3 linked regions of the Styela clava genome follow. The protein of the gene in region 3 interacts with the protein of the main gene of each other region in a pairwise test. Links are inferred from orthologs where the notes say so. Each region holds a gene or a part of one and is shown on either strand. Other genes may lie near its edges. The genes, in order: N-terminal kinase-like protein, RING finger and CHY zinc finger domain-containing protein 1-like and RAB6-interacting golgin-like.

Region 1 (8,918 bases), on a different chromosome or scaffold from region 3:
TATATGCAAATTTTATGTTTGCAAGATAAAGATAATACATTTTACAAATTTGATTTCACATAATATGTGTGTTTGGAATACTGATTTTATAGAATTTGTAATTCGAGATAAAGATTTACAACATAATTCCGACAAATTAAATTTTGCACATATCTTAAATTTGCAAAATATATCTATGTAAAGTAGGTCAAAAGTAATAGCAACAAAGAATTCTTTACTTCAGGCAGAAATAATTCATACATAGATATGTTTAGACAAGAATGAATTTATTCCAATTCCCTAATGAAAAAGATAATAATGTTGGAGAGAAATATTATTATAAATTCTACCTGGATTTCTTCAAGGAATAAATTTGTGTCAACAAAATAATTGTTCATGAAACATTGCTGAGTTCTGCAATTTTCAATAAATCGATCAGGACTCGGTCGCGAAGCAGGATTAGCACCAACGAGTTCACAATAATGTGCAACGAGGCTTTTCGGTATCTGAAATGAAAGACAAGCATGAAGCCAGCAGATGAAAACTAGGTGAAAAATCAAGTAATACGTAACAACATATTTACCCCACAAACTAATTTCACTCCAGAAGGAACCCAGCGGTCCCCAAACTTCTCAAAAGGTAAAATGAATTTATTGATTCATATACACAACATTTAAAATAAGAAAAAACAAAACATTTATAATAAATACAATATGTAATATTTTCAATCATATTTTAGTTATGTTTAACACAATTCTGTTAATTTCCTAGGTGCACTTAGCAACTCGCCACGGCGCACCCTTCTGGATCCGCTGTCATAACCAATAGTTCCAAACATTTCAGTAATAGATATGAAAGCAAGACACTAACCTTCCCAACAACTTTGAGTGAAGAAGTTCTGGGTAATGGTCCATTAAAAACTTCCCATATTAAACAGCCTAAACCCCACATGTCAGAAGACCTGTAAGATTAAAAGTTAAAAATTACAGAATGAATCATTTTTTATTAAATGTTGAAGTGCACAATATCTCTTGCTAATTAGTACTTGAACTACAGATTTCTAACTTTCAAACAAATAAGCAAGTCAGGACTTTAATTAGACTTGTTTTATGTAAATGATTTATATCCACGAGTAAAACTCGTGATAAATTATATGTCAAACACAAATAATGGTAAATTCAACCCAAAAAGGTTACAATCTTATAAGCAAATTGTTTGCAACATTTTTTATGATAGGTATTCCAAATCCATAATGTAGGATTTATTATAATTGAGTTATTGAAAGCCTAATAATATATTTTGAAATTACTTCGAACAAGAATATTATTTTGAGACTTACGAAAACTTAAAAAAACACACACATTTATTGCATGATCAAAGACTATGGCCTGATGTTACAATCCAAATTTTAAGATTCCAGTTCATTGAACTGCGAAACTTACCACTTAGATGATTTTTTGTTACGATTTCTTGCAGATTTTTCAGGGGGATCATATTTTTCTAGCATAGGTAAGGTTTTGAAAGGCGGAAGATTGCTGCCTTCGCCTGAGGCTGGATACATGTAGTCTACTCCACCTGAAATTCATATAACAATGACATAGAAGTAATTCATTCACTGCTTTAAACGTATCTGAGTATGAATATATGAACAGAAAACACAAGTATAATTGCATGAGAGTGAGACAATACTTATTATTACACAAACTATAATATTCCTATTCCACAAAAATAAAAGTTTTTAAAAACTTCATCTGACATGATAAGTTTCGGCTGCCAGTAGGGAAAAGTATTGCACGTCATCTTAAATTGATTATTCAGAAATAAAAAGTTTATTTAAAATAAATCATGACTAAAAATTTTGAAAAAATCCTAATTGAAAATAACCTTCACACTAACAATCCATTCCTCACCTAACTTCCACTCTCCACTTTGATCAACAAATATGGAAGACATGCAGACATTGTTGTGTATAAGATTTACAGTGTTTACCAGAAAACTGAGACCTTTCTGTAGAACAATTTGGAAAACAGTTAATTAATCAATCATAATTATTTAACTATTTCTTTTCGGTATTTCATACAGGATACATAATTAAAAGTGACTAAGAGTCAGTACGAGGTTACCCAAAAACATAACCCAGATCATTGGGAAGATATTTTTAGAAAAAAGAATACTTTTGTGCAAAGTGTCCCAGATCACTGAAACAAACAGAAGTTCAAGTGTTGAAGTTTAAATTAAATTTTTTTATTTTTATTGAAGAAATTAAAAAATATATCGGGTTCTGTTTTTTTTTCAGGGTCAACCTGTACTATACTCTCTCGAAAGGAGTTTTAGTGGTCATGAAATATGGTCCTCTTGAAAAATGCTGTAATAAACGATTCATTTTTTTGTAACAAACTTCATTATTTTCCAAAAAATTGATTACTACAGTAGTCATACAGACATGCATCTGTGTTTTCTTCCCAATTCATAATCAAACCATCATAAACAAATACCGTACTTACAGAAATCTGGTGAAGACCCCAAGATATTGCAAGATCACGAGTGGCATTTTTAGTTTCCATTGTCTTCAAATGTTGTAACAAAGGTACCACAGGTTCGGTAACAATATAAATGCATTTTGGGGCTTCAAGGCTGAAAAGAATAAAAAATATATAAATAAATTTCATTTCATGGTTGAAAGCCAACGAACCTTGAAAGAACATTTCTATATTGTACAAAAATCGGATAAAGAAAATAAGAGTAATACCTGTCGATAAATGTAAGAACATTAGGATGTCGAAGAGTCTTCAATCGTTTTATTGATGATGAAGCAACCTGTCTCACTGCATCATTGCTTTCTGCTACATCAAAAGCAAATATAGAAACAGATTCTCCGTTTGCCTGAAACAAAATATCAACAAAACAGATCTTTAAAATTCAAAATCTTTTTTTAACATTGAATGTTAAGAACTCATCATTAAACTACCGGTACATGAAGAAAATCTTTTTGACTTTCAAACATTTATAAACTTTTAAATGAAATATTTCGTGAATATGGCTTCAAACTCTGATTGGAAAATCAGCTCAAAAAGCAGCTTTTTTTGGAATTGTTGATGAGAATTTTTTCAAAATTTTAACTTCTCCCCTTTGTTTTAAAACCCTCGATTTGGAAGTACTAATCTCAATGTAGCAAAACATAATAGAAAACAAGTATAACTAATGAAAAAGGGAAATTTTCAAGCATTATACTATTTTTATGCACAAGAAAATTAGCAAAACAATAGCTATACCTTACGAGTTCCCTTATGCAATGTCCATATACTTTGATCATCAAGTCCAGAGATTTTTTCCCCAACTTCAAATGCGAAGTCTTTAGTGGGATCTCTCGAAAATATCGACCACATATTTCAAAATTTAATAACAATCAACTTTGCATCAAAATAGTTACTAGAAGACTAATTGCAAGCAAATTAAGCCGCTCTAAAAACTGAAAAAAATGAATAAATAAAGGGCTATAGGGTAATAACTGAATAAAGTTAAAAAAAAAAAAGCTTTAGATAAATTTTATAGTAAACGAACAAAAAATAAATAAGTAAAAAAGAAATTAGAATAAAAATAAGAATTGTAATTAGAGATAAGAATTGTTTGCCACACCATTTTTATAATTTCATAAAAATTCCCAAATTGAGTACGGTACCGTAAAAGCGCCTAACTTCGGACAGTTCCTAACTTCGGACAAAATTTTTGAACGGCCATATCTTGGCTAAAACGCGCCGTATATTGCTAATTTTAATTATTATAGGTTGCGCTGTTATATCTACATCTATTCTCATCTTTTTTAATGTTGCATAATTATTTTTTTGGTAAAAAAACGGAAATTTTGCCGAAAATTGACTGCCCGGCATTCAACGGTGCAGAGCGTCGCTCCTACTGAAGCCATCATCGTTAAAATACCATCATTCGGTAGAGGGCGACAACAATGTATATAATTTATTTGAGTGATCGCAAGATGTCGTACGAGATTTAAATTAAATCTAAAATTCTGAATTATAAATTCCGTAAGAATATTAAGATTTCACGCAGCGTCAAAAATTACGTCAACCTCACGTAGATTATTTTTCGCTCACTTCGACACGACGTCACACTGCGTCGCGGAAATGAATTTTGACGCCAGACACAACGGAGCCAATATGACAATTTCCGTTAAGATAAAGACGGCGTTTCAATCTAATATTTTTGTATTTTGTTCGGTCATGTATGAATATATGCCAAAATTACATTAATGAAAATACATATCACACTTAATCGATGACGTTAAATATCGAATATATAATGAACTATGATAATTCCAACGTCCATATGGCACAGTGCACTGACTTAACCATTATTTTATGATTAGTAGTCGAAATGACAGTTATTGAATACGGCCTGGGTGAATTTTATTCACTCGAAATTAAAAATAAATTTAATCTCCAACAAATAAACGGGACCTACATGTTTACAAGATTAAGTTGAATTTTAAATTAAACTTTACAATCGGATTTACCGTGTGTTTGATATAAATTATCATTTATAAAGATAACCGCGCAGAATAAAAAAAAGCTATCCGTCGAGAATATTAATACTTCAAAGACTTCGATAGAAGCCCGTTAAAATACTTCATTGTGGTTTGAAACGGTTTGCATCAGATATATTTACGTATGCATTTCCTGATTAAAATGACTAACGTGTTATTATACTCATCTGAAGTATCGAAAATAACGAACGAAAGATGTAAACATAGGACGACGGAAGTTTCAAATAATGCATTTTCGTCGTGACGTCAATGTTACGTTACGACGACGATCGAGCGTCTTATCTTCACGCAACGACGTGATTACGGCATCCGCATCGGAAGCCTCTTTCTCTCTGTGCGTCGCGGTTACGCAGTGAAGAAAATGACTGTCCGAAGTTAGGGCAGTGAAGGATAACGGTCAGATGGCAAGAAATATCGATTATTTCAATAGTAAAAATAGTCCAATTGAACCGAAATTTGCAGGGAATGTAAATTACCGCGCGAATGTTTTACCGAGCAATTTTGGCACCGTTTGGACAATAAATGGCCGAGTTATTGACGAAAATATAGTAATTTTGTCCGAAGTTAGGCGCTTTTACGGTACCGTACGGTACGGATTATGTCAACAAGAGTGAACAGTATTTAATATGGAGACAAAAAAAAAAGACTTTGCCAAGCTGATTATAGTTGGAGTCAGATGCAAAGCAGGCAACCACTGACCCGCTTTCCCCCAATCCAGCTCCAGAGCTCTAAGAAACTGTGATACTCAAGGTTCTGGCTTCAACGGTACCGTACAGTAAAGGTACCGGTACCGCAGTAGTACAGACGAGAGCCCAAAAATCATTACACCGTTGTAGCATCTTACTAAATCACTATTGCGTGAAATACTTCCGAGATACCAACCAATTAAAATAAAAATTTATTATGACGACTGGATGGACCTTTCCCCGAGCATCGACTTCCTTGTTTACTTCGTGACATTGGCCAATGAGCAAGATGCAAAAGGTGACGTACTATGCTCCCTTTTCGCATCCGCTCAGACACTTTTCTCACTCAGACAGATTTTCAAGCGTGGTCGTAAACATTACCTCATTTTCGCGTTTTTGAACTCTATTCGTTAGTTTTCACAATGACATTAAACAACATGATGCGCAACTCCGGCATTTTTGTCCGAAGATCGTATTGGATAGCACGCTCCAATGCACATACTTGACGAGACGAAAACGAGCGGATGTGTGCTGCTTTCAAGGCGTAGCACGAATGGCGTTCGTGCCTGCTTCGACAGTTGTTGTCGATTTTAATGATATTTTGGAAAGTTAAGGTAAAAAGAAATCGGAAAAAGGCAAGGTAAATACTATTGTGGTATATCACACCCGGGCATCGCACTGTTAAGTACATGTGGGAAAGACAGCCTTTGTCAAAGACTACGAAGTTATTAATTCAGTACGGTACGTAGTTGCCCATTTGCCGAAATTACATATTTACTTACTCCTTATGGTTTCAAATAGTTCCTGCACCTCCGGTTAGATTCTTTTAATCAGTGAGGATATTTACTCATTGCTGATTGCTGCTCATTGTAATATACTATTGTGCATTCACTTATATTTGCGTATTGAATCAAAGTGTTAACAAGTTCACCTAACATTTCACTCATACCGGTCTATCTTGTATAGTCTGATCTCTCAAGTATTTGGAGCCGCGAATGCTTGTAATTTTCTGACTAAACCCTTTTATTAGTTGGTTTATATACCAAATTCAGTAAAATATGAGATATTGGATTTATTAGCTTTTCCATTCTAAACCATATAGACTGCTTTATTTATTCTTAACGAAAATTAATAAATCTCCTCTCTTTCTTCACATGTGAAAGTTGTGGACAAACCTGTCTAAGCATTGTGAGACTCCTGCAGCACAAGAGGTAATAGCAGAAATAGTAAGTATATCAATCAAGAAATTAAGCCGACATGAAGCAAAACTTTCAACTATTCGTCTAATCTTAATTTCCTATTATTTATTCACAGGACAACTATAGCAGAAGGGGAGATATCAGAAGTCTGGCGACATATCAGTGACAGTGTGATTCCAAGAAATATAATTAGAGTACTCCATAAATGTTTGCAATAGAAAAACAACCTATGGAGGCATGCAAAGACATTTGACCCTCCGGTAGAGTTGTGTATGGCCCCCACATCCTGCAGGGCTTGAGGAAAAAAACTAAAACTTCCCAGCGTAAGATTGCATAAGCGGTCTTATTTGTAATAAGGCACAAAACACGCCAGACATACTTAAAACAGCTTTGGAAAATGAGGATTACGGGTAACTCACTGCACCTGTGTTATATTTGGTTCATCAACTTTTGTTAGTACTATAGAAAAAATTACGGAAGGCGTATAAGCATCATTCATGATAAAATACTATCATATATTTTTTGGACAACTTCAATCTAGACCAGGGATCTTAAACTCGCGTCCCCAGAGAACTTCCAGTGCGGCCCTCGAACGCTTAACAATAATTGTAATAGTATTTTGGAAGTTTTTTTTTTATCTAAATGTAATAGATTTTTCAAACCTTTTAAAGTGAGATTGATTATCCACACAGAAAACAATTTACTGAAAGTAGTTTTGAAATATTAATTTTTTTTGTCCACATTTTGACCCAATTAAGAATACACATCAAGCTAGCAAGAGAATACTTGAATAAAACACTTGAGTGATTAAATCAAACGCAAAGTACATGAAGAAAGTGGCATTTTCGAAGAAAATGGGAGTTGCAATATTTCTGCTTTCCACAAAATTTTGAAGCACATTGTTTAATTTGTCATATTTCCACTAATACAATGAAAAAACACAATAAGCTCAGCAGTCAATATGACAAATTCGAAGACCAACTTCGAACAGAAAATTTCCATGTGTTTGTATATTAATATAATTATACAACGACTTGGTTACTAAAAATCTATATCAATAATAATTCAAGCAATCCTATGCCACGCAATGTGGTGCGAAATGTCTTGTCGAAAAAATCTGTCATTTTTTTTTACTGATCTATACATGAAATGATAAAAGTAACTTTTTTTGCATTACTGGAATTAATTAAACATTTGCAAAGATCCAGATTAACCCATGATCATGTGGCCTCGTTATTTAGAGTTGGTACTATAAAATCATTTCAGCCTGGCCTTAGTATGCTGGTGACATTTTATGATTTTTTATAATAATTACAGTAACTTGCAAATGTTGCAATAATAGTGGAATGCAAATATCAATATGTAATTGCATTTGAAATTGAAGAAAATAATAAAACTTAATCCAACTGTTTAGTTGCATCACAATATATGTCACAAACTAAAACTATCTTAAAAATATCTTTCAAGTATACATTATCAAAAACTGTTTGCGGCCCTTTTTACAATTTCCAAATCGCAATGCGGCTCTCGAAAACCCATGAGTTTGAACCACTGATCTATTCTAGACGATTCAAGCATTGCTTTGGGAAATAATATCACTTCAATTAAATTGAAATAATCATAATCTTGCTATATTAAATACAAAATCGTTGCTATCATAAAGGTAAACCAATTCAGCCACTCGAAATATATTGGCCTTCACAAAGCAATGGAGGCAAAATTGAGAGTTCATGAGCTATGAACATTTGTTCCTTTCTTTGTCTTGAACTTTTCATACTCCACAGCCCCTATTAATTTTTTATAATTTTAATTACCATGTGATGGTCATACATATCTTTAACTTGTATTTTCTGTCATGATGTATTATCTCAATGTGCCAAACTATTAATTAGTGTGCATATTTTGCTTCCAGATGACATAAATGTATTGTCTTGTTTATTACCTCAGCTTGGAGTATTGACAAGAAAAAGGTGCCAGCAAATTAGGTAAAATTTTTTTTAACTCTTTGTTATAATCAGAATTCACAATCAATAGGAATTATAAACAGCCAACAATCAATAAGAATTTTATGCGAAATGCCTCAGAATAAATTTGTCCAAAATCGGAGAAAGGCAAAAATTATAGGTAGTTTCCACTTTCCATCCACACAAGCATTTCAAGAAGACTTGCTCGAGCCAAACTAAATGAGCATCGTCAGGTGATCGGTAAGGCTGCAAGTTGAATTCAGCCCTGCAACCTCCTGCATAGAAGATAATATTAATTAGTAGGCTATGAGCTAAATTCCTAAATTTAAACAAACTCATCTACGATGCATTATGTACCAGCAATGTTACCTACGATTAACTGAATATGTAATATGTCTAATATATTCAACTACAAAAGCAAGTTCGATAGGTGCAAACTTTGTGTTATGGAATTGTATCACAGCACAGTTTTGTATGACACCCTCTTTAAATGAAATTTCAATGATTAAGCGCAAACCTTAAAATTACTAAC
Region 2 (8,379 bases), on a different chromosome or scaffold from region 3:
CTGGTGACAGGGCCATGATAGTATTGAGCCATCTCATCATATTTATCTCGCCTGGTATAAATATGGAAATTTTACTTTTCAATAGGTAGATAGATATTACAAATAGATATTACGCAACATTTTATTTATAATTGATACATGACTTCTCAAAATAACATATCTAAAACAGAATGGTCAGATGACTGTTCAATATGAAAACGCAGAGTATACTTTAATAAAAAGTATATTAATGGTAATGGCTATAATGCTGTTCAAAAATATAATGGGTGACCATGAATACATACTTTACATAGATATATTCATTGTTCTTCATTATAAAAAGTGAAGAATAAAACTAATTTCATACTATACCATCAAGCAAAGTTTATAAATTAACCATTGAATAATTTATATAGTTAAAGGTTCAACCCCCTTTCCTACCACCTTACCCAGGTTGAATGAATTAGGTGAACAATTCTTTCCATGAATAGTAGCTCCATACACATCAGTGGCGGTTTGTCTAGAGCAGGGCTGCACAACTCAAATGAGGATACGTGCCAAATTTTTCAAAATAATCTTGTCGCGTACCACGCACAATTGTGGTATTGTAAATTAACTCCTGCAAAACAAACAAATTTCAATAATAATACATAATAACGGATATCTATTTATTGAAACAATTTAATGTCCTGAAAAACTGCTGATTTTGATATAAACGTGATATTTTAATGTGTATCATAAATATTTTTTTTTCACAAAACTGTTCGCGTGCCACGTTTGAGCGTATGGCGTGCCAAATTTGGCACGCGTACCGCGTGTTGTGCACCCCTGGTCTAGAGCACCGGTTCTCAACGAGTGGGTCATGGCACACTACTAGGCCACAGAAACATTTCCAGGTGGGCCAAAACCTACTGTAAATTGCACAAGAGTTATTGATAAATTTATTTACATTTGTGTCACTATAAATAAATTTTGATTGCAGTAGCAATAAAAGATGCTTCTGTTGTTTGCTGTGGAGTGGTAATTTTCATTCTAATCATCAATAAAGTGAAAGTGTCTTTATTGTGGGAAGATTTTTTTTTTTTGTAGTTTTATCCTGGCATTGAAAAGTTAATGGGCCATGAAATCTTTGTTCAACAAAAATGGGCTACGACAGAAAAAAGGTTGAGAACCACTGGTTTGGAGGTTTATTCAAAGTGAAAACACCTCTTCAATAATTTGAAATTCGTAATTGACGTTGAAATATCTCAATATCAACTGTGTGTGACTAAAAATCATAAATACCAAGCGATAAACATGGAATATTATATCCTTGATAAAAATAAGTAAAACCTGCCAGACAAAAATTAGTACAACTGAAAGGAGTAAACAGTTTGTCAAGTGTGAGGTTCCTCAGTCTCAAGAAGTTTGGATTGAGGTTGCCCTGTTCCACATGTATTGTATGATTTACATTTAGAACATTTCAATCCCAGAACATGAAATCGGACATTAGACACTCCCTGACAGTCCTTACAAAGAATCCATATCAATGTGTTAGCATATTCGTCTGGCATAGGTGTCACAGCAATCTCTTCATCAAGATTTTCCCAAACTTTTGACATTTCCAAAGTCGATTTGCCACATGACGGACATCGATATTCATTGTGTTGAAGCATTACAGAATAGCATTTTCTGGAAGATAAAGGCTTAATTACTTGAAGGGTGTTGTCATGAAGCTATTTCAATATTCATATTAAACAAATAAGGGAATTGAAAGATTGACTTGAACAAATCACCGAATTCTTATGATTGCGAAGTCACTCAATCATAAAATGTTAAAATTTCAAATTCATTAACTTGATGATAAATGATGATATAAAGAAGTGTTGTGCAGATGCAGATGGCCAACAAGTACACATAAAAAACTTTCTATCAAAAAAACTATGAGAACATTCTTTAGCATATGTTAACCAGAACCAAGACAAATAACAATCTTTGGAGTAGAGATAATTTAAAACAAAACTAGTTAAAATCATTGTTACAACTCTTTGAAGAACGACTAGTGACCACCTATATATTTTCCCCTATAAATTAGGGATCCACAAGCTTAAACCACAATCAAACCACAACTAAATTTCACAACTATTCCTTTGATTAACCAAGTTTAGAATCAGAATTCTTTTGATATACCACTATGACTATTTAGTCAAATTTTCTTGTCTGAAAAGTCTTACACACAGCCAAAAGAAAAGTTACACAATATGCAGCAAGACTATCGAGTGATTTCAAGTTTAAATAGCCTTGTAAAAAAGTGACAAAACCTTCGTGAAAAAATTTAAATTCATTCATATCACACAATTGCACCAGTGTGGCATGGTATCATGTTGGTAGATGGGAAAACATTAATGAAAAAACTCACTGGTGAATAAGATGGCCACACGAGGGAACCTTTAATGACTCCGTGGATGTGTGCATATCTTCTAAACACACTGGACAATTGGATTTCGATGATTTTTCCACACATCTTAATAAAAAGTAACAAGCTTGCCACAAGCTCTCAACACAATGTGTATCAATAAAGAACAAAAATTTTAAATATCGTTTTCCATTAATATTTAACCCCTAAGCCAAGGGTAATAAAATATTGCATATTTTAAACCTTCTAAATCAATGCTCAAAGGCTGAATATAATAAATTGTAAATACCAAAAATCAACCTTATTAAATGCCATTGACAAATTATAAATTAAAATGGGAAACAGCAGAGTGTGAATTTGGCATTTTTATTTTGTACATGCATGAATCTGATTGAGAGAACAATTGTTGAGATTGAGGAATTGTTGAAATTGACATAAAAATACAAAACAACGAAAAGAGCATAAATTAATTTGAAAAATACATACTTATGAGAATCCTTGATATCAATACTTAAACATAGATCACATTTCGCGCAGTGAAAAAAATTTGCACGTCCCCCTACTCGACACAAACCACAATCATCACAATGATATTGCTTACGATCTCTGTCATCAAACATGTTACATATAGAACAGTGATATTTTCCAAAATTTGTACTGCAAACTTTGCATCTGAAATATTTTTTAAATTTTTAAACATAATTAGGTCACAAAGCTTGGTTTATAATTTTAATGCCTTTTTAAGAGCTCTTAGCTCAAGGTTCTATTAGATTAAGGAAAATATCAATAAAAAAAGTTTTTTTGAAACTATGTTAGAAAAATGGCCAGTACAAAGAATATATATACAAATTTAAAAAAAAAGCGATCAACTATTTTAACGAGAAGCCAAGAAGCTTGTTATCAAGGTTTTATCATTAAATTTGAAACTGACTCTGGAGAAACTTCTTGAACAGTGCTACAATTGTTGCATTTGATATGCTTCACAAGGTAGCGATTCAGTTTGTGATTACACTTCTCATCATGGCATAGGCGGCAAGGATAAAATTTCCAGCATGTAGAGCACTCTAACAGACATCTTCTTATGTAGTGTGTGCAAATTTCACTCTCTGTCTCTGTGTGAGAATTATTACCTATATCTGACATTTTGAGTTTGTAATTATATTTAACTTATCTGCAACACACATAAATATAAACAATACTGATTAACTGTTCACATTGTAACAAGAACAATAGCAATAGGGACTGGGATATTAATGAATACCAGAATAAATCTTCATATTTAACAACTGACTTACTAATCCCAGAATCCCATACACGGCTTGGAATTGTTAAGTCGTCTTAGGATAGGATTTGCATATTTTGAATTATATTTATAATATTATTTATCGCGGGGGAGAGGAAAGTTGACAAGACAGCGCAATCATATGGCGAACCACAGCTATAACGACTTTCCTTTCATCCGAGGTAAATATGTAAATCTGTATGTAGGTCAGGGTTGTCCAGAACGAATCGAATATTCTAAATTATTCGAATATCAAGGTATTCGAATACCTTTTCGGCTCATTTCCGAATAATTACGAATAGTAGTCACTTTTCCCCGTAAACACGGTGTTTCGTTTTACCGGAATCTTCAAACGACTTTTTACGCTTTCTCACGTATTGTAATGACGATGAAATAGAGTCGGCATTTTGATTGTTTATATTCAGCGCGAATGTACGTCGCATAGTGTTGCGACACATTTGCACGTTTGCGTTGGTGGACATTGCCGACATTCGTCTTTTAATTCACAAAATCATTTCCATTAGTCGAAAAATCGACAATCACCGTATTTCCCGGCTAATAAGTCGCTTTTCTAGACCCAATTTTGGCTTGATTTTTGGGGGAGGGGCGCCTTATTGAGAAAGCATGTTTATTTCATTTCTATGTGGCCTGCTTATTTTTCGCATTAGTCTTCTCAAGCATAATTTGTGTTGAACCTTATATTTGGTTCTTATGGGTCTGCCAATCATGATATTTAATCGTAGGCCGGTTATCGTTACTTAAAAGAGAAAACACGGCCACCGCCACCGAGATAAAGTAAGTGATTTATGACCCTTTGGTTTTGCCGATTCAGCAGAAAACAACAGGGACATGAAACACAGCTGTGAAATAACCCGTGGACGTACCGTGTGGTACTTATCACATTCCAAAATTATTTCAACATTCGGGTTGATAGGTTGTCCAAAATGATTGCCGCTTTATAATTTAAATTTACCGCTTCGTTGTTGAGAATAGTTAATTCCGTGAGTATGGTTCTACCAAACAAACATGATCTGGTTCTGTTCTGACCCTATAAAATTATAGATTGTTCAAAATGATTTTGATTTTTAACTTAAAATTACCGCTTTATTGTTAAAAATAGTTAATTCTGTGAGTATGATTCTACTAAACAAACGTGATCTGGTTCTAAACATTATTATTAGCGCATATTAGCATAACTGAACAACAGGGAATAATTTTTCTACCCGTCTTCTTGGAGGCCTATATGGAAAACCCCCTTTTTTGAGTGCTAAAAATATACATTGTCCTATTTGCCATGTAGACTTATTAGCCGGGAAATACGGTATTTATAGCCGCAATTGTTACGATACCCAATAAATTGTCACAAGTTGGGAAACAAGTTGATTTATTAGAAAAATACTTTCACCCGCTTTCTGGAAAATAATTTTGATAATGATGGTCAAAAGTATCGATAATGAAATGAATGTATGTATGTATGTATGAATGAAATGAATGTATGAATGAAAGTATTAATACCAAATACCACGGGTATTTGTGGGCATGAAATGTGTGGTAAACTGCCCAATTATAATTAATTTCGGATTCGTATTTACAAAATATTAAAACTATTATAACTCAAAAATACAACGGCGATTTGTGGACTTGAATGTGTAATAAAGTACAAATTATTTTTCCGAATTGTGACAATTTTTTCGAGTACGAAAATAGAATCAAAAATTAATTATATTCGGGCACAATATCACGGCATTCTGTGGACATAAATTGTGAGGCAAACTCGCGATTGATATTAATTTTTGATTCCTATTTTGGTATTTACAAAAACAACGGTGATCTGTGGACATTGAATGTGTGGTAAACTACCCGATTATAAATAGTTTTTGAACCCTATTTTCGTATTTATAAAATAATAAAAGTATTATTACACAAACATACAACGGCGATCTGCGGACTTAAAATGTGTGGTAAAGTTCCCGAATATATTTACTTTTTGATTCGTATTTTTGTACTCACGAAAAAATTGTCTCAAGTCTGAAAAAGAACTCATACTTTATCCCGCTTTTTGACAAATAATTTGGATAATGGTTGGTATTTAAAAGTATGGGCGTTTTACTAGGATGATTTTGTGTTGCGCAAGCATTCAAATCCATCACCGATACCACTATTTAAAATGCCTTGTCGTATTATTTTAATTCTGTTAATTAACACAACTCATGTTATATAAAATATATATCGCAATAATCTGCAAACATGAAATGCCTGGTAATATAGCCAGGTTGTAGATAGAAGTTATTCCATTGTTTATTGTATGAAAATTCCTTCATACACTTAGATTCTATTACTGGATTTTATTTTCGAAGTATTCGAAATTTCATATTCGAAAATAATAATTTCGAATGTATTCGAAATAGTGAACTATTCGGTATTGGCCATCCCTGATGTAGGTACTTCCAAACATCGAAGTAAATTTTTTCGCGATATCGCACACTTTGGGAATCACTGACCTAGGCCCTCTCATCGTATAAATCGGCCGTGAGCCTGTGACTGCAACTAATCCTCCCCGAACACAAAATTACTTCGGCCTTCTCAATTTTAAGACAGCACGGTACAGCAGTAACTGGATAAGGTTTTCATCAGTATTTATCCAGTCCAATTTTAATATTCCAAGTTATATTGTCCATTTCGAATTGTACGGTATTCCATGTTGTGATCTGCAGAGTAGGCCTACCATTTGAAGATATTCATTTTAGTTTATGGATTAGGCATATAGGCAGTTCTTCATTATATTGCAGAATGGACAGATGGACCAATGCCCATCATTGTTATAAATAAATCTCTCCCTGCCCCCCATTCCCGACATGAACTGACAACCGGACGAGAGCCGGGGTTCGCCATATGACCCCGGCTCAAATATTGAAATATGAAAATCCCAAGATGTTAACTACGTAAAATATTGTAATATATATTCTGAAATCGGAAAATATTTTACATGCGACGACCTATAAATAACAGACGCAATAAGGTCGTTTATTAGTTCAAGGGTTGGGGTTTCGGGGCCAATTTTTGAAATCCCCGTACCGGGATATCCCGGGATTGAGCTGTATAATCCCGGGACTTTTCGGGATTAAGTAAAAGATTGAAACAACTTGCATGACAATAAAATCACGTAATTATTTCATGTAATAAAGACACAGAAATATTAGAGCATCTAGGACAGTGGTTCCTAACCTTTTTTTTATATCGCGGCACACTATTTAGCTCTTTAAATATTCGCGGCACACCTATCACAAAACACGATCATTTTCTACTCATAAAGAGTGCGATAGTCGAACGCGATCATGGGGGTCTCGTGTAGTTTCGTACCGGTACCTAACGTAGCATAACAATTTTTTGATATGTCAATCCTAACCCCCATCTGATTACGCCATCAAAAAATTAAATCACTACGACATCACAATCACGTCATAGAGCTTGCCAAATATACGCACGATCGATCGAAATGGCATTGGCGCCTACGATAAAGAACTGGCTGACGTTATCGGTCTCTCTCCTATTGGAATCGTTCCGACGACAACTGTTTTCTTACGTTAATGTAAACAAGAGCGTCTTCGGAGCACCTCACATTATTTTAAAAGTTGTGCAGCCGCGAAGTGGACATAACGATCGTTTCAATATTATGTTGTTGTTGTTGTTGTTGTTCTTGTTCTTGTTCTTTGACACGTTTTTAAAAAGTCGCTTTACTCTTCGAATACTGGACCAATTGCTTTGAAATTTTCAGTGGTTGAAGATAAAATTTTTCCCCAGAAGGCTATTACTTTTATTTATTTTAAAATTTCCTGTGGACTTCGAGAGATTCGTTTTTTGTGTTCAAAGAAGTGATCAGAATAAAAAATAGTGACACCTTGTGGCGATTGCGCGAAGGCATATCAACTGAGAAGCGATCGTAATTCTTGCTCCGCTAAGAGTTGTTTATGATGGGATGTTTGGGGTTACCGGTACCCGCAATGCAGCAATGCAACGGTTTGCGATTTCAATAAACTCGAAAGGTTTTTGAGGTTAAGTTAAACTACCGGTACTGTTTCGCGCGGTGTTCAATCAATCAATGTTCACTTTCCATATATTTCAATATTTGTAGACTGTGGTTCCCGTGTTAAGCGAAAGTGATACTGGTACGATACGGTAGCTGGGAAAGCTATGACAGTCCCTGTGGCCTGTACGGCACGTACCGGTACCGTTTACAGGTTTACGTACCGTCTTACCGGTACCGTAGTCCGTTACGGTACGTACCGGTACAGCTGTACAGGTACGATATCGGTAGACTAGTACAGTATTACTGTACTAGTTGCATTAATTATATTTGTTTAGAGTGTGTGCCTGCATTGGAATTAAGTTTTTGTAATGAGCCAGCATGTCTGCACAGCTGCTATGCCTTTCTAATTTTTGGCTGTTTCGTTACATTTTTTTGGAAACAACATTTGCATAAATACGTATGATACCGTATGCAGAGGAAGAAACTTCACAAAAATTTCAACATGTGCAGCAGGTTAGTGTACATAAATCAGTAAATACAGAAATAAGCAGAGGAAGAGACTTTACAAAAAGGATAAGATTTACATTATTATCCCGATGGAGAGGAAAGCCTATAGAACGGCTTAACCATATTGCGAACCACTGCCTCTTGTCTGGTTACCGGTAAGGTACCATTCCAAGTCTGGTACCGGTATGG
Region 3 (8,041 bases):
GATTCATTTTTGCACTTATGTATTCCGCTTCTGCTTTATCAAAGCGTTTTCTGAAAATATACAGTTATAACTTATATTTAAAAACGCCAATCAGCTGTTTGGTAACACAGGAATCCTTAAAAATTAAACTTGAACATAGTTTGTGACAACCCTTATGTCCATTCATCAAGAAGCAGGAAGTGATTAGGAGGAATTATATGTGCACTGTTTATGATGGACTTGTCATAAAGACAATGATGACTTTATTACTTATCGATCTTGATCGGTAAGTATGTTAATAGGTATTTGTCTGTTAGATACATGCGATATCTCACGCAAGCGAGGTTGAATCTGCTCCAAATTTTGCATGTTCATTCATCATATCACAAACCAGAAGCCTATTGATTTTGGATTATGTCGTATAACAAGAGAGTCATTAATTAATTAGTGATGAAGAGATCTAGATTTTTGAAAAGCGAGAGAACGTGAATGACCTAGATTTTTGAAGCAAGAGTGTGCATGTGCTGAGTGTGTGTGCGATGCGCAAGTTTCCATCAAAAAAGTTTCCACGCTATTGAGTCAGAGCGCAGGGCACACGCCGCTGGATCGATAAGTCAGCGGTCTCTGATCGCTATCTCCTTTACATATTGTTAGAGATTATCAAGTGGCAGCAACTGTGAGGATGAAAATAACCTCGAGATTTTGCCCGCCTTTGTTAGTAGAATATTACCAAATATACTACAGGACATTTGAAGCAATTACAACTTGCATGACATATCAGAAATAGTAGAGTAGAAGCAACAAAAGGATGTCTGGAAACATAGGAAGTGTAAATGAGGTCGAAAGAAACTTTACAGTTCACCCTAAATTAACATACATTATCATGTATAATTAAAAATATAATACCATAACTTACTGTGCATGATTATAATCTACGCAAGCTTCATCAATTCTATCTCTAAGAAGTGAAACATCATAATTCAACATGCCATCAAGCTTTGTAAGTTCGGCTTGTATTTTGACAAGTTTTGTTGATTCTGCAAACGCTCTCTTTTTTCTGTAAAATTAAAATGACTTGATGTATCAAAGTTTTATCAAATAAGGATTAGCAAAAATCTTGCAAATGATAATGTAATCTAATACCAGTCTTAATTCTAAAATCTATTCCATTTCAAGTTGAAAAAAATTTGAACATGTATTAAGCTATGAGAAGAAATGTAATGAAGTTGTTACAAAAACCAGTTTGATATAAGCTGGTTACATATGCTGATGATATCATGCAGTTGCCACTTCTGAAACAACGATCATTTTAGACCAGTGATTCTCAAACTTTTTGGGACGCGCCCCCTTTTGAGAATTTCTCAAGTCTCGCGCCCCACCTCTAAAATAACAGATAGTTGAGGCGAAATGATGTTTCATTCAAAAAACATATTAATAATATGTGGATGGGACATAAATATCCAAAGTAAAGAAATGTAAATAGCCTATTCAAAACAAGGCGGGCAAGATCAAATCTAACAAATAGTTTAATTTTTAATTAGCTCCACGCCACCTCAAAAAACTGTCTACGCCCCCCTTGTGAGGGTGCGCCCCACCGTTTGAGAACCACTGCTTCAGACAATGATATGGATAGAATCATTATCTTTTTTTTTTTTGGTTCTAATTCATTATATATAATAGACAACCAATTGGCAGGTAGAAACCATGGCGCTAGGTGAGACCATTTATAAATACTATATACGTATATACCTAAAGTTAAAATAGCCACTTATTACAGTTTTTTTATGAGGAGGTTTCAGACCTTTGAGGCGGCACTGAGAAGCAGTCGAACATCTATTTCTTAGAAAGTCTTTCATTACATTCAGGACATGGGGTTAAACTGAAGATCTTAAACCAACTACACCAAAATAGTTAGGCTGATGCCTGATGGTGTTAATTAAGGAATTTGTATGGGTTCAAAGATTTGAAGCATTTCAATGAAACATATTTATGTATATTAAGAGCTATGAAGAATAATATATGCATATTATATACAGACATTTACATCAATATATATACGAACCTCTCTGCAATTGCTTTCGTTAGCATTGTCTTCTTCCTTTTATTTTTCTCCTCCATTTGTTTTTGTCTCTGTTGGATGTCTTCAAGTTTGATTTTCTCTTTTCTGGAAGGTATGAATAAAAAAAATTATAATAAAATATAATCCATGGCTAATCAGATAATTGTTGTTACAAACCAAGGATATTGCATTCAGTAAATGTGAGCAAGAAGCAAACTGTAAACCACATCTTGCCCAAATTGATTAAAAACAAAATTTTAGGTTAGGTATGTCAGGTCACATGAAAATAGGCTATAATATGCTTACTCTTTGATGACTTCAGCATCTTCTAAAATTTCAGGCTCTTCGCTTTCAACTGTGTCATTAGCACTTTTATCTGTAGATTCTAAATTAATAGGAACATTTGGTCAGAGAGACAACTAACAGTAATAAAATTCATCAAACCTCAAGAGAAAATACCTATTGGTGGAGTGCATGTCTTCCCATGTAATGGTGTATTATCAGTAGGAGTTGTGACTTTTGATGGTAGGTTTTTCTTGGAGGATTCTTCATTAGCAGCTTGTGATAGCATTGCTTCCGAGGGTACATCACCATGTTCCTTTTGGACTCGAGGAGTAGTTTTAGAGCTTTGCCTTTTTTGAACCTTTTGGCCCAAGATAGATCCTTGTTTCGCTTTGGCACCGCCAGTTAAGGGTTTAGCAACTTTGGCACCAGCTGAGCGATTTCCATCGCTTTTCATTCTTCGTAAATCAGCGTCAGTAAATCCCACCCAGTCACTCATTTTTAGATTTTATGTTCTTTAGAAAACTTCCTGCAAAGTTTATTTTGGATATTTACTGTTAGCGATATTCATTCATATCCTTCCTAATGTGTGTTTCTAACTTGTAAGTAAAAAAGTTGGGGTCTCGTGTAGTTTCGTACCCAACGTACTTCTAGTAGGCGTAGCACAACAATTTTTTGACATGCCAATCCTAACCCTCACCTGACTACGCCATCCAAAAATTACGTCACTATGTAGTCACAATTACGTCATAGAGCTTGCCAAATACTCCTACGATCGCCCGAAATGGCATCGGCGCCGCCGATATTAAGAACTGACTGACGTCAGCGATCTCTCTCCTATCGGGATCGTTGCGACGAGAAAACGAGAGAAATGGCTGTTCGATTTCGGGTTCTCGTCTGCGCGTCTTGGATGACAGTTCGCATAGTTTGAAGGGCTCTATTACGTCACTGTGATGTCGTAGTGACGTAATTTTGGGATGGTGTGGTCAGGTGGGGGTTAGGATTGACACATGAAAAAATTGTTATGCTACTGCCTACTAGAAGTACGTTAGGTACGAAACTACATGAGACCCACATAAGATAACATGAGCAGCTGCAAATTCCTTTCCAGTACTAGGAATTCAGCCCAAGAATCACATTTAAATGCACTTGCTAGTATATATTTAGTTCACATGATTCCGTGATTTCTGAGTCTTTGTGGAATGAAACTACTGTAACCTGATAACTTTTTCAGTTACACGGAGTTGAACCATGGAGGGAATTTCATTATACTAGTTGGTAAAACCAATGAACGAATCAAATTTGATTTTTTTTATATATAAACCTTAATCAGGACTAGACTAGAAACATAGATCTAGATTCTTTTAATTTATGATCATTTTATTAATTTTTCCAGCCCTCTATAACGCATTGTGCAAACATTGGCCTTCATTCACGTATACATGTTGCTTCTTGAGCATTATTTGCCAAACAAAGCACTCAAATAACATTGCTAAACTAGCAAGAACTGTTTTTGAATTATTCAATGTTTTGGGCCAATGGGCATGCACCATCACAGTTGAAACACGAAGAACATTCTGCTCGATCTGGTGTATTAAAGGAAGAAATATTAACATACTTTAGTATTGCTGTATTGCAAGTAGGGCTGGGCGTTTCGAAACAATGTTTCGAAACGTTTCGAAACACTGATATGTCGAAACGGCGGCGTTTCGACCTTCGAAACGGATATTATGACGTCATAGCAAATGCAACCTGTAATTAGTGACCAATTCGAATTTAATATCCGAATTTATTCGAATATCGTGACTCTCAAATATCGTTTTCAGTGTTTATAAGAATATTAAATATCGCGCAAACGTCCAAGCGCCGCCGTCCACGTTTTGATCTGGCCGCTGCTTTGTCATTGAGCAGAAACATTCGTGGAATTATCATTATCGTTTTATCTTTCGAATTAGCATCCAGTGATATCCTTTTGTGGATTTAATTGTGGAAAATAGATGTCATTATACATTAAATTCCATGGGTAATAATGGTATCATATTTCACTGTTTATAACAAACGTGTGTTTCGTTTCGTTTCGAAGGCAAAATTTCGTTTCGATTTCGAAACACCAGTGTTTCGAAAATGCCCAGCCCTAATTGCAAGCGAGCATCTTGCGCTGATTACATATTCAGACCAATGATATTCAAAATATTACTCTTAACTATATATTGGTTTTATTTCGACTCTATAATCAGCACAGACGTTGAAATAATTAATAAAAATAATTAAACAATGATTATGAAATCCAGGCCCCTCACTAATGTAAAAATGTGAGATTTATGAAAAACACCTTGCCATGTGCCGCAGAGTGCGATCACCACGTTGTAAGTACATTGGGTTCGCCAACTCTGATATCGCTATTCAGCAGTGGATTTCATCAATGAACGGCAACTGTGGGCAAAAAAATATTCGATTTGTTTAGTGACTAGCATGATCCAGTCTAGGTAAGAGATAACACGCCGCGGGGAGATAAAAGTTTACACCTCGTGTGCCCAGAGGCTCGAGACGCAAAAGCTCAAATACGTCACAGCGATATGGATTTTTTCTTTCGCGCGTCGTTCTTTATCTTTCTTTATTACGTCAGGAACTAGACAGGAAAAAAGGTCGTCGTCACGTGAACCAGCAAACCAACCAATCAGCATTGGTTATTTTACAACGGCGATAAACGACATTCTGTTGTTTCGACGCCCTTCTTTGAGGTGTCCTCGTGGCGACTGTATTCTGGATTTAGGAATTGTAAATATTTCATTAGAAAAGTTTGAGGCGAGTGTATATCTATATATCTGTTATGTCTAGAACAAAGTTGGTGAAGTTAGGGCCTCAGCGGTCTCAATTAAACTGCCGAAACCGCAGGCAAGCGAAAGTGCAGAATACTAAAAAGCGTAAGAAGCGCATAGTGGTTCCGTGTAAGGGCGCCACATGGGAAAACCTGAATCCCGAAAAGATGATTGTTATACGAGAAGAAGATAAAAAATATTTCGGTAAAGAATGGGTCGAATTTTATTACATTTTTGATATTTGAATATTTTATTAATGTATTATTGTCTGATCTTGCTGTTTTGTTGACTGGTTCAGTACAGCAGTATTTCCAATCTTCCAGCAATACTGCTTATGTAATATTTTGAATTCTAATGCTGGCATATATGACTTCATTCATGAAATAGGACTTCTGTCGTGATATGTTCTCTTATCATTTGCTCTTTCATCCTTAATCCTATTGCATGCTTTTTGCAATGATAATTCCAAGACATAATATACGAACCGTCAGACAGTGGTTTAATCAAATTGTTCTAAATGCAATTGCCATATTTTTTAAAATTATTTACTTTCTCCTATCGTCCTAAATTGTATATTTTGTTCTGTTTCTCTATGCATAACAGGTTTAAGTGGGATTGGTTTTAGACCAACTGGTTATATTGATATTGATTATGAAGTGGCTAAATATCACCAGAAGCTTGTATGCTCTGGAAGTAGAGTCAATGCTGCTATACTTAGTAATAAGGCTGTGGAACTGTGTTTAAAAGCGGGTTTGCCACTGACTTTGTATAATGCAACGTCAGGATGGATACAGTATTTCCTAAAAAGATGTGCTTGTGTTAGAGCACATTTGCAGCAGTTACGGTCAAATGAGGCCTCATTCACTGAAGACGAAGAAACTGTCCAGACACTAGAAACCCCGCTTTGTAAATGCTCCAAACCTAATATTGTAAGTAAAAATGTCTATTTTGTGGGATGTCCAATCGTGTTCCCATATTCTAATAATAATCTCTTCATTTTTAGGTTCCGCAACAGCCTGCATCACTTCTCAATCTTTTTGCAACACCTGCTTCTCCAGAGGTGGGTACCAGATCGAAAACTACCGCATAACATTTTTTTTATTTTTATTATATTTAAAATATAACTCTTGTTCTAGCCTACACGCTGCCGGAATTGTTCCAACGACGATCTGTCATCAGACTCCGGAGTGTCTTCCATGTCTACCTCAACCACTGGTGCAAGTTTTACAGATGCTGCTGCTTCATCAGTTGAATGTGCCAAATTATTCATTCCAGAAAGTGAAGTCAAATTATATCCGGATGATTGTGGATTAGTTCGCACAGACACAGCAGTTTTTCGTAATCCACGGACAAGATTACATAATATTCCACGCACTGACTCTTTTGGGCCAAAAAGGCTTCGTTATGATTATTTTTTACCAGAGTACTGTTTTCCAGAACTGTTGCCCTCCGGGGAAGTGAAAAATTTTGTTGAAAATTTTAATCAATCATCCATTGATCAAAACTATGACGTTGATAATGAATCATATTCTAATTTATTTGATTTGTTACAAAGTGAATTTTCATGACATTTATTGTTTACATTTACTTCGGATTTTATTGTTTCACTGTGATTATATTTACTTTGCCAAGTGCTTTCACATTTGTCTATTTAGTTTGAAGAAAGTGTGGTTGGTTTGTGGGAAAGCAATCACCATTTATGGAAATATTGGATGAGAGTTTGAATAACAAATTTTTTGTTATTAGGTCCGTAATACTTTTACACTAAGTAAATATGTAGAAGTTATGCAACATTCAACATGAATAGAGACGAACAGGGTAGACTTTGACTGCAGGACAAACTTGTTCCATTTGGTGACAATTTGGTATCGTTTAGTCATTTACATGCTCATTTTTTATATCCATGGGTTAGCCGTTACGCTATTGAGAGGGCTGTAAACAAGCCCAAACTAGTAAGTTTATTACAGCGTTAGCAAAAAACTGAAATCTGGTAAAGGCTTTTTTTTTTTTTTTGCCAAATTTAAATCCATAGCCAAATCGGATTTATGAAAATGATAGTTTTGGTTTATCCAAATATATTATTATGTCAATTTAATTGCATGAATCCCAATTTCCAAATAATTTAGGTGTTATGTATACAATACATGATAGATAAATGATCACAAATATCAAATAATCCAGATACATTTACCCATATTAGTTCAAATATCCAATTTGAATTGTGTCCACATTCATGAAATGTAATCCAGTGACCATTGTGCATACATTTTTTTTCAGTAGTTATACCATATATATTATAAATTTAACCGATATTATCATTTAATATGGAAAACAAAAATAATTAAAGAATTAGACAAATAATCATAAAAACGCCCATCATGCTATTAGGCGTTTTCCAGATTCTCGGTCCATGCAAACTTTTTTTTTTTTTTTTCTTGGAAATAACATTTTATTAGAGAGTCTGTGATTGCAGAAACGATAGTTGCAGGTGTTAGGAAAAAATATTAAAACATGTTTGACATGAAATAATACATTATACACCCACAATGTTATATGATATATCATAATTTTCATTACAACCCAACAAACATACACATTTTTTTTTTTTTGACTGAATTATTTCAATGTATATAAATTTCAGATAAGTATGAAAACTATAACTACCATATTCAAAGCATTACTGATTTTCCTAAAAGAATTTCATCTTATAATATTTCCTCTTTTACAAATTCATTCATAATTCTTAAAGATCCTATCATCACACATTTAAACATAGTTCTAAGTATGGACTGATATGTTTCCGATTCTTGAAATATTAAGCCATTTCTAAAATTCCAAATCGCTGCTTTACCACAAGCGATAATTAGATTCAGTGATTTAGTTTCAACATCTTGAGTAAAAA

Evidence for each region.
Region 1: the proteins of RAB6-interacting golgin-like (region 3) and N-terminal kinase-like protein interact in a two-hybrid assay, tested with the Homo sapiens proteins (2 studies listed by BioGRID and IntAct). The link is inferred for Styela clava from reciprocal best matches to the Homo sapiens genes GORAB and SCYL1.
Region 2: the proteins of RAB6-interacting golgin-like (region 3) and RING finger and CHY zinc finger domain-containing protein 1-like interact in a two-hybrid assay, tested with the Homo sapiens proteins (3 studies listed by BioGRID and IntAct). The link is inferred for Styela clava from reciprocal best matches to the Homo sapiens genes GORAB and RCHY1.

What each region holds. Positions count from the first base shown.
Region 1 is NC_135252.1:12,119,286-12,128,203, forward strand, and holds the start of N-terminal kinase-like protein, read right to left. Parts: upstream 3,454-8,918; 5' UTR 3,366-3,453; coding exon 3,252-3,365; intron 2,863-3,251; coding exon 2,729-2,862; intron 2,614-2,728; coding exon 2,484-2,613; intron 1,987-2,483; coding exon 1,890-1,986; intron 1,555-1,889; coding exon 1,422-1,554; intron 941-1,421; coding exon 850-940; intron 486-849; coding exon 330-485; intron 1-329. UniProt on the Homo sapiens protein: Regulates COPI-mediated retrograde protein traffic at the interface between the Golgi apparatus and the endoplasmic reticulum. Involved in the maintenance of the Golgi apparatus morphology.
Region 2 is NC_135257.1:10,033,555-10,041,933, reverse strand, and holds the start of RING finger and CHY zinc finger domain-containing protein 1-like, read right to left. Parts: upstream 3,566-8,379; 5' UTR 3,518-3,565; coding exon 3,306-3,517; intron 3,047-3,305; coding exon 2,861-3,046; intron 2,483-2,860; coding exon 2,378-2,482; intron 1,651-2,377; coding exon 1,356-1,650; 3' UTR 1-1,355. UniProt on the Homo sapiens protein: E3 ubiquitin-protein ligase that mediates ubiquitination of target proteins, including p53/TP53, TP73, HDAC1 and CDKN1B. Mediates ubiquitination and degradation of p53/TP53; preferentially acts on tetrameric p53/TP53.
Region 3 is NC_135254.1:14,352,821-14,360,861, forward strand, and holds the start of RAB6-interacting golgin-like, read right to left. Parts: upstream 3,164-8,041; 5' UTR 3,021-3,163; intron 2,992-3,020; exon of another isoform or gene 2,850-2,991; 5' UTR 2,820-2,849; coding exon 2,498-2,819; intron 2,424-2,497; coding exon 2,345-2,423; intron 2,144-2,344; coding exon 2,042-2,143; intron 1,037-2,041; coding exon 896-1,036; intron 51-895; coding exon 1-50. Other genes in the region: uncharacterized protein LOC120344284, read left to right, coding at 5,151-5,343, 5,743-6,068, 6,143-6,199, 6,276-6,707.